Linked DNA regions of Macaca mulatta. The protein of the gene in region 2 interacts with the protein of the main gene of each other region in a pairwise test. Links are inferred from orthologs where the notes say so. Each region holds a gene or a part of one and is shown on either strand. Other genes may lie near its edges. The genes, in order: MEOX1 and NEIL2.

What was found.
Region 1: the proteins of NEIL2 (region 2) and MEOX1 interact in binary tests that used the Homo sapiens proteins (3 or more experiments, as listed by UniProt). The two-hybrid records come from large-scale screens. The link is inferred for Macaca mulatta from reciprocal best matches to the Homo sapiens genes NEIL2 and MEOX1.

What each region holds. Positions count from the first base shown.
Region 1 is NC_133421.1:68,004,785-68,009,318, reverse strand, and holds the start of MEOX1 (homeobox protein MOX-1), read left to right. Parts: upstream 1-1,446; 5' UTR 1,447-1,590; coding exon 1,591-2,059; intron 2,060-2,455; exon of another isoform or gene 2,456-4,534. UniProt on the Homo sapiens protein: Mesodermal transcription factor that plays a key role in somitogenesis and is specifically required for sclerotome development. Required for maintenance of the sclerotome polarity and formation of the cranio-cervical joints.
Region 2 is NC_133413.1:9,503,916-9,507,722, forward strand, and holds part of NEIL2 (endonuclease 8-like 2), read right to left. Parts: intron 1,800-3,807; coding exon 1,603-1,799; exon of another isoform or gene 56-1,602; intron 1-55. UniProt on the Homo sapiens protein: Involved in base excision repair of DNA damaged by oxidation or by mutagenic agents. Has DNA glycosylase activity towards 5-hydroxyuracil and other oxidized derivatives of cytosine with a preference for mismatched double-stranded DNA (DNA bubbles).

The DNA.
Region 1 (4,534 bases), on a different chromosome or scaffold from region 2:
CTGGCCGTCTTCGGAAGCAGCCAGCAGAGACGCTGCTGTTAAGGCCCATGCCTGTTTCTGCTCCAATCCTGCTGCCCTGGGTTGTGGCAATAACCAGTGGGGAAGGAGTTCTGGCCCCTGGGTGTTAGGAATGTTGTCCTCCAAGAAATTGCATTAACCCTCTGAGAGACCAGCAGGGTGCAGCCATGAGAAAGACTGATTGGGCATCGAGATGGCACTTGGGCTGGCTGCCCTGTGATGTGCACCAGCCCGGAGACCCACGTGCCTGCTTGCCAAAGAGGCTCCTCTGGGGAATGAGGAGCCCCTGATTCCTATTTCCCTGCCCCAAATTCCTCGGAAGCCTCCGCCTCTAAGGGTTGAGAAAGGGAAGCAGGTGGGTGGAGGTGAAGGGGGCAGGGAGCAGGTGGGAGGAGACCCGAAGAAACTTCAAGGACCTTATTTAAGAGCCTTGCCATTGCTGTGAAGAAAAATGACTTGAAACCTCTCTAGAGAAGACTGTGGCTAATTGGCATGTAAGTTGGAGGTTAAAGAGCGGAAGGAAGAATCTGATTGTTTTTTTAAGTTACTGAGAAAGTGAGAATGTCACTCTGGGCAGAGAGAAATTCTTTTTTTCTAGAGTGTGCCTTTCTTTATACTACAGACCATAGTGGGCCGCTGAGACTTGCAAAAAAGATTTCTTTTAATCCACCTTCCTTTTTCGCAGGCAGCAGTAGAAGGGCCTTTAAATCAAATGCAATCACCAAGCTTGTCTCTTGCTTTTATTCCTCACTTCACTCCCTGGAATTTGGCATTTGACGGATTCTGGATCTGACTTAAGGCTTTTTCTAAATCCAAGACTTGGGGAATTTTGTTAGCAGTGCAATAAAAATAACTTCATAGTGTTACAGGAGGCACATTAAAGACGGTGTGTGTGTGTGTGTGTGTGTGTATGTGTGCGCGCGCGCGCGCGCGTGAGTGCTGCTTTCTTTAAAATAAAAAAAAAATACAGACAATGTTTCTTTAAAAGTCTCCATCTGCAAATCCCATTAGATGTGCATATAAGGTTTCTGATGATTAATAGTTGCCTGCTAGGGTTTTGGTTGGAGGGGATCTTGTGTGTGCGGGTTAACCCCTCCCTCTCCTCTCTCACATTTCACTTCAGAAATTTGTCACTCTCTCCCCACCGCAGGATTTAAAGTGTGTCCCAGCAGCCCTGGTCCAGCCCTCTGCAGGCATTTGCTCTGGGCTCCAGGACGAGCTCCTCCTCAGCTGGTGCTTCTGGGTTGGGACAGTGAAAATGTTTAGTGTCACTGGCGACAAATACACGTACAGGGGACCCCAGTAGGCAGGCTGGTGCATTGGAGGGGCAGGAGCAAGCCCAATATAGGTGTGTGCACACACATAGGAGTAGCTGGCCACATGTGTGTGTACTTTAAGGAGAGACTTTAGTTTAGTTTTTTTTTTTTTTTTTTTTGGTTCCTGGGGTAAATTTTCTGTTGAATATTTTTCCCTCCTATTTAATTTTTTTTCTTTTGCATTTTTAAAAATTTGAACATAAAAAGTATAAAGAATCAAATCTTTGAAAGGACTGAGGCGTGCAGCGGACAGCAGATGGATCCCCCGGCCAGCAGCTGCATGAGGAGCCTCCAGCCCCCAGCCCCTGTCTGGGGCTGCCTTCGAAACCCCCACTCAGAAGGCAATGGGGCCTCAGGGCTACCCCACTACCCGCCCACCCCGTTCTCCTTCCACCAGAAACCAGACTTCCCGGCGACAGCGACGGCAGCGTACCCCGACTTCTCAGCCTCCTGCCTGGCGGCCACCCCACACAGCCTGCCTCAGGAGGAGCGCATCTTCACTGAGCAGCACCCTGCTTTCCCACAGTCCCCCAACTGGCACTTCCCTGTCTCAGAGGCCCGGCGCAGGCCCAACTCAGGCCTGGCAGGGGGTTCCAAGGAAATGGGGACCAGCAGCCTGGGCCTGGTGGACACCACAGGAGGCCCAGGTGAGGACTACGGGGTGTTTGGGAGCACTGCCAATGAGACAGAGAAGAAATCATCCAGGCGGAGAAAGGAGAGTTCAGGTAGGTGGCTCAGGAGCAGCTGATCATTCCTTTACTGTGTGACCTTGGGGAAGTTACTCACCCTCTCTGTGCCTAGGTGCTCTGTCCATGAATTTCTGTCTAGCCTATCCAAATGCAGGAGACTGGACCAGTTACCTTTGGGGTTTCTTCCACTGAGAGTTCTAGGATTCTCTGGTGATGGGGACCGTGTCTGTGTCCCAGCACTCCTGGGCCCCAGGAAGGGTGTCCCAGCGAGAGAATGAAACAGGATCCGCAAGGATTTGGACACGTGAAATGGATCCTCTGGGTGCAGACTGGCGAGGGCTGGTGAGAGGCTTTCCTGCATCAGGCTGCCATTGAGTCATGCTCCTCCCCACCATGCTTTGGCCAGCCCCAAGTGGTGCTAGAGCCACAGGGCTCGTTTACCAGGGAAGTCAGCTGAGATTAAGGCTCTGAGAGCTAAGACTGAAGCTGGGACCCTGGGTGGCCACCCACAGCCAAGACCCTATGTGTCCAGGAGCCTAGAGGCAGAGAAGCAGGCCTGCAGCTGGATAGGAGAGTCCAGGGGTGAGGGGGAGATGGAGGACTGAGGTTTGGGGTATCACCCTGTGGAGCTGGGCCATGTCCAGGCCAAGGGGACAACTTAGCATGCTGAGATCTGGCTGAGCCCCCGGGAAGGCAGCCCCGCAAGGAACTGTGAGGGATGGGCAGCCTCCAGGAGAGTCAGGCAGCCAAGGGAGTCCGTGCTGGAGTCCCAGAGGCTGGAGGATGAGGTTGGCCTATTTGTTAAGATTCCAGCTGAAACCCTTCTCTTCCCCAGGGTGGGGACCTGCTGTTTCCTCACCTCCCCACCAGGCCCTCCCTGGTTTCTCACACTGCCTGTTCATCTTTTGTCTGGTTCCTCGTCCCGGCCTTGTTCGGAACAGGGCAGTGCCCAAGCCTCCTGCCCGCACTGCCCTGTTTTCCTCCTGACAGCTGCCCTCAGGGGCACGCCTGTCTGTCGGAGCCTGTAGACGACCTTCCCATGGGGCTAAGAAGGACAGGCCAGAAAAGAAGGGCACCAATGAACAGGTGGGAATGCTTTGTGCTTTGCTTTATCAGCACAGCTTTCCCGAGTTTCTGCTCTTAGCCAAGCCCAGGAATGCTCTGGGTGAGTAAAGGGGTCTTACCCAGAAAAGCTCAAGCTGAGAGGAAGAAGAGGCCGGCAGAGGTGTGTCAGCAGTGGGATGTGCCCTGATGGAGAGGCTTACGGTGCCATGGGATACCGACGTCAGCTCTTTTGAGTCCCACGGGTTTGGGAGATAGGGACAGCAGGTTTTATTAGTATCTCGATTCTCTCAATCTGCAAAATGAAAGACTGAAAGTTTGTGAGAACACAGAAAGAATGGGGTCAAAATAGAGTGAGCAGCTCATCTCCATTTGCCCAGGACTTTTCCAGTTTTAGCACTGAAAATCCTGTGTCCTGGGAAACCCCATGGTCCCAGGCAAACAGGAGAATTGGTCACTCTAGAAGTGAGCTCAAACCCCAGGCTTCAGGCCCCCGATGTCACACCCTTCAGTAGATTTCCAACGCAATCCTCATTTTGAAATGATGTTTGGTTTCCCTGCTTGAAGAAGCCCCTCAGTGAGCTCACAATGAGTAATAGGAACCCTAGCAGCCCTTGCGGCTGCTAAATAGAAGGGCCCTTTAAACCTCCAGCCAGTTAGATCCCCATCCCGCAAACTAACTCATCCTACCCCAGGTAGGAAATGTGCTAAGGATGAGAAGGGACTCTCAGCGACTTGACTCTGAGCTGGGTTGAAGAGCTTTCCCCTTGGTGGCGGCACCCGGCACCGTGGCTCCTTCCTCTCTGCCACTTTCCAGGGAACTGAGAGCCAAGGGCATTGAAAAGGGATAGCAAAGCCAAGAGCCTGCTGGGCTCAGGCAGAATCTTCCAGCATTCCGAGTCTCAGCAAAACCCAAATGCACCAGCTCTCTTTTTGGCAAGTGACCGATGGCCCTGCAATGCAGAGAGAGCATTCACGCTAAGCAGCTGGCCACCCAGGAGTACAGGGACACCCTCTGCTGAACGGCCTGCACACTTCAGAGTCAGACTTTGGTGGAGGGAGGTTCCCATCCGCAGAGGCCCTGGGCTTCCCTAAGGGTCCCCTCGGGAGCACCAGTAGCAGGTGAGGCAGGGCCCAGAAAGCTGACTCTCACTCATCCCTCTGTGATTCCAGACAAACTCGCTGTTCAGCATGGAAATCTTTATTGCTCAGATGCTTGAGACCTCCTTTGGAATTTAACTCAAGGGGAGGAAGGAGGCAAGAAATATCAGCTTCATAAGAGCCCAAAGAAGGGGGAAAGCGACCCAAGGCTCACAACCTACTCCAGGAATTTGGAATTTAGCTCAGAAAAGGCAAACCCACAGAGAGCTCCCCACCCAACCCTACCAATCCTGAGTCTGTAATCGGATCCTATCTCTAAAATTGTGATATTTTGTTCATTATCAATTT
Region 2 (3,807 bases):
TGGTGTCATGCACCTGTAGTCCCAGCTACTCAGGAGGCTGAGGTGGGAGGATCGCTTGAGCCACAGAGGTTGAGGCTGCAGTGGGTTGTGTCTATGCCACTGCACTCCGGCCTGGGCGACAGAGAGAGACCCTGTGTCAAAAAATAAAATAAAATGAAATACCAAGCATAATGCTCGTTATGTAGAAAGTGTTTGGGGAGGTGTTATCTTATGATTTTTCTACTCCTGCCTCATTCTCTGTGAAGCCAGCCTCGATCCCTCCTTCCAGAATCAGTAACTCTCTTTGGAATGTTCCAACCATACTCTTTCAGCTCCACCAGGCATTCATAGCAATCTTTCCTAACTCGCAGTGGACTGAGTCTGTGCTTGCTGGGACATTAAACAATGATCTCCTTAAGGAGAGATGGTGAGCGTGACAGAGGTCAAGTGAGTGTCTGTGTGTTTGGAGTGAGCAGGTGAAGGAAATTCTTGCTTTTTCCAAGAGCCTCATAGTCACACTCCTCATTACACACATCGATCTCTCCAGAATTCGTTGACAGAATACCTGGATTCACATCTCAGCTGCACCGTGTACTAGAGATGCGTTCTCTGCTTCAGTTTCCTCATCTGAAGGAAGGGAAACCCACTATAACCATCCTATGGAACAGCACTAAGGACAAAAACATGTGCCTGGCACATCAGAGCTGCTTGGAAAACACTGGCCATTATTAATTACTACTGTTACTTTATTAGCTCTTGCCACATATACCCAAAAAGCCACTTCCGATGGCTCTTTGCTCCTGAGGGCACAGGGACTCCCATGGTCCTAACATGAAAATGCAAGGCTAGTGCCTGGTGCACCACCGGGCCTTCTCTGACCCTCGTGAGGGGAGGTGAGCAGGCAGCAAAGCCACATGTTGGATATGGAGGTGACTCTGTCACCACCAACTTGCCTGATTGCTTCAGCAGCCAATTTTGGGCACAATTATTCCCCTGCTGTGGGTAATAAGAATGGCACGCTCTCATAGTCCAGCTAATTAGCTGTTACATGTATTTTTGAAATTGTTCCTCTCTTCTCCCTATCCTGAAACGCTCACGGTTTCACTGCTCATGCCACTGCAATAGAGAGAGGGAAACTCTTCTTCACTCGTCTTGTAAGAACCCAGTGTAGACTGAGTCATCTGTGCATCCACCCAAGAGCAGCATCCCTTAGAACGTGCACTCACTCCTCTGGTAGTAGCCTGCACGACTTCAGTCCCTACAGATACGGGTCAGGCACCTCCTGTGTGCCAGGCACTGCACTGTGCTGTGGAGGGTACAGAGGTGCCCAAGACATGACCCTGCCCTTTAGGAGGCGATGTTCCAGCGCTGCTGGCAGAAGGCTCACAACTGATAACACAGTTAGGGTGTGGATTCTGAAGCCCAGAGACAAGCTAAAAACTGCCTGATCTAATGCCCTCAGTCTAAAAACAAGGGAAGTAAAACAAAGGAGATTAAGCAAGTGGCACCTCAAGACCAACAGCACTGGCACAACTAGGGTGGGCCTCAGGTCTTGTGACTCCCACAGGAGCGACTTTTCCATGAAGCAAGTCTGTGGACTCACCCCTTTCCCATGAGTCATACCTAGCCCTGAGAAGTATCTCTGGTCCAGCAGTGTATAGCAGACAGGCTGCGCCTGGCCTAGAGCTTCTAAGGCTTGTCCTCGATGGAACTTCTCAGACAGGATGTCACAGGCGGGTGTGACCACGGGGGAAGAGCTCCAAGACATCTGACAATTATAAAATGCCAGGAAGCCACCACCACCAAAGTACAGGACCAACCTGGGAAGAAAGAACAGGTCATATGTACACATCGCTCTCACAACATAGTCAGAGCACACTCTGTGGTCGGATCATACACACATCCCCACATCCCCACATCGTTACCATGATATAGTCACAGCACACTCTATGGTTGAATCATACACACATACACACATCCCCACACTGTTACCACGATATAGTCAGAGCACACTCTGTGGCTGGATCATACACACATCCCCACATCGTTACCACAATGTAGTCAGAGCACACTCTGTGGTCGGATCATACACACATACACACATCCCCACATCGTTACCATGATATAGTCAGAGCACACTCTGTGGTCGGATCATACACACATACACACATCCCCACATCGTTACCATGATGTTGAGGTTGATATAGTCAGAGCACACTCTATGGTTGGATCATACACACATACACACATCCCTGACTTACAATGGTTCACTTTTAATTTTTGATTTTATAATGGTACAAAATCAATGCACACTCAGTAAAAGCCATACTTTGAGTACCTATAAAACCTTTCTTTTCAGTGCAGTATTCAATAAATTACATGAGATATTCAACATTTTATAAAACAAGCTTTGTGTTAGATGATTTTGCCCAACTGTAGGCTAATGTAATTGTTCTGAGCACATATAAGGTAGGTTAGGCTAAGCCAGGATGTTTGGTAGGCTAGGCATATTAGACGCATTTTTGACTTATAATTTTTTTTTTGAGATGGAGTTTCATTCTTATCACCAGGCTGGAGTGCAGTGGCACTATCTTGGCTCACTGCAATCTCTGCCTCCTAGGTTCAGGCGATTCTCCTGCCTCAGCCTCCCGAGTAGCTGGGATTACAGGTGTATACCACCATACCTGGCTAATTTTTTGTACTTTTAGTAGAGATGGGGTTTCATCATGTTGGCCAGGCTGGTCTCAAACTCCTGACCTCAGGTGATCCACCTACCTTGGCCTCTAAAGTGCTGGGATTACAGGTGTGAGCCACCACACTTGACCTAATATTTTCAATATTCCATATATCCTTTCCATATAGAAAGGATATATAAAGCTAATTTTATTTATTTATTTATTTGGAGACAGGGTCTCACTCTGTTGCCCAGGCTGGAGTGTAGTGGCACAATCACAGCCCACTGCAGTCTCAACCTCCCTGGCTCAAACTACCCTCCCACTTCAGCCTCCCAAGTAGCTGGGACTACAGGTATGCACCACCATACCTGGTTAATTTTATTTTATTTTATTTTATTTATTTTTTTTTTTTTGAGACGGAGTCTCGCTGTGTCACCCAGGCTGGAGTGCAGTGGCGCGATCTCGGCTCACTGCAAGCTCCGCCTCCCGGGTTTACGCCATTCTCCTGCCTCAGCCTCCGAGTAGCTGGGACTACAGGCGCCCGCCACCACGCCCAGCTAGTTTTTTGTATTTTTAGTAGAGACGGGGTTTCACCATGTTAGCCAGGATGGTCTCGATCTCCTGACTTCGTGATCCACCCACCTCGGCCTCCCAAAGTACTGGGATTACAGGCTTGAGCCACCGCGCCCGGCCTAATTTTATTTTTATTTTTTGTAGAAACAGGGTCTTCACTATGTTGCCCAGGCTGGTCTCTTACTCCTGGGCACAAGTGATCCTCCTGTCTCAGCCTCCCAAAGTGCTGGGATTACAGACAGGAGTCACTATGCCTGGCAAGCTAATATTATTTATTTCAAAGACCAACAAAGTAGATAAAACTCAGGCAAGCCTATTAAAGAAAAAAGAGACAAAGCAAAATAAATATAAAACATGTAAATGAGAAAAGAGACATAACCAGGTAAACAGAGATTTAAAAATAATGGCATGATACACATTCACTCTATGGCAACATATCTGAAAACCTAGGGGTGAGCCTGCTTCGTGGAGAGCATTTCAATGCCTCCAGCTGGTGACTAATCCAGGACTCAGCAAAGGGCAGGCTCCTGATGATGAGAGGTTTGCTGGAGGTTCTAAGAAAACTTTCCTCATCTGAACT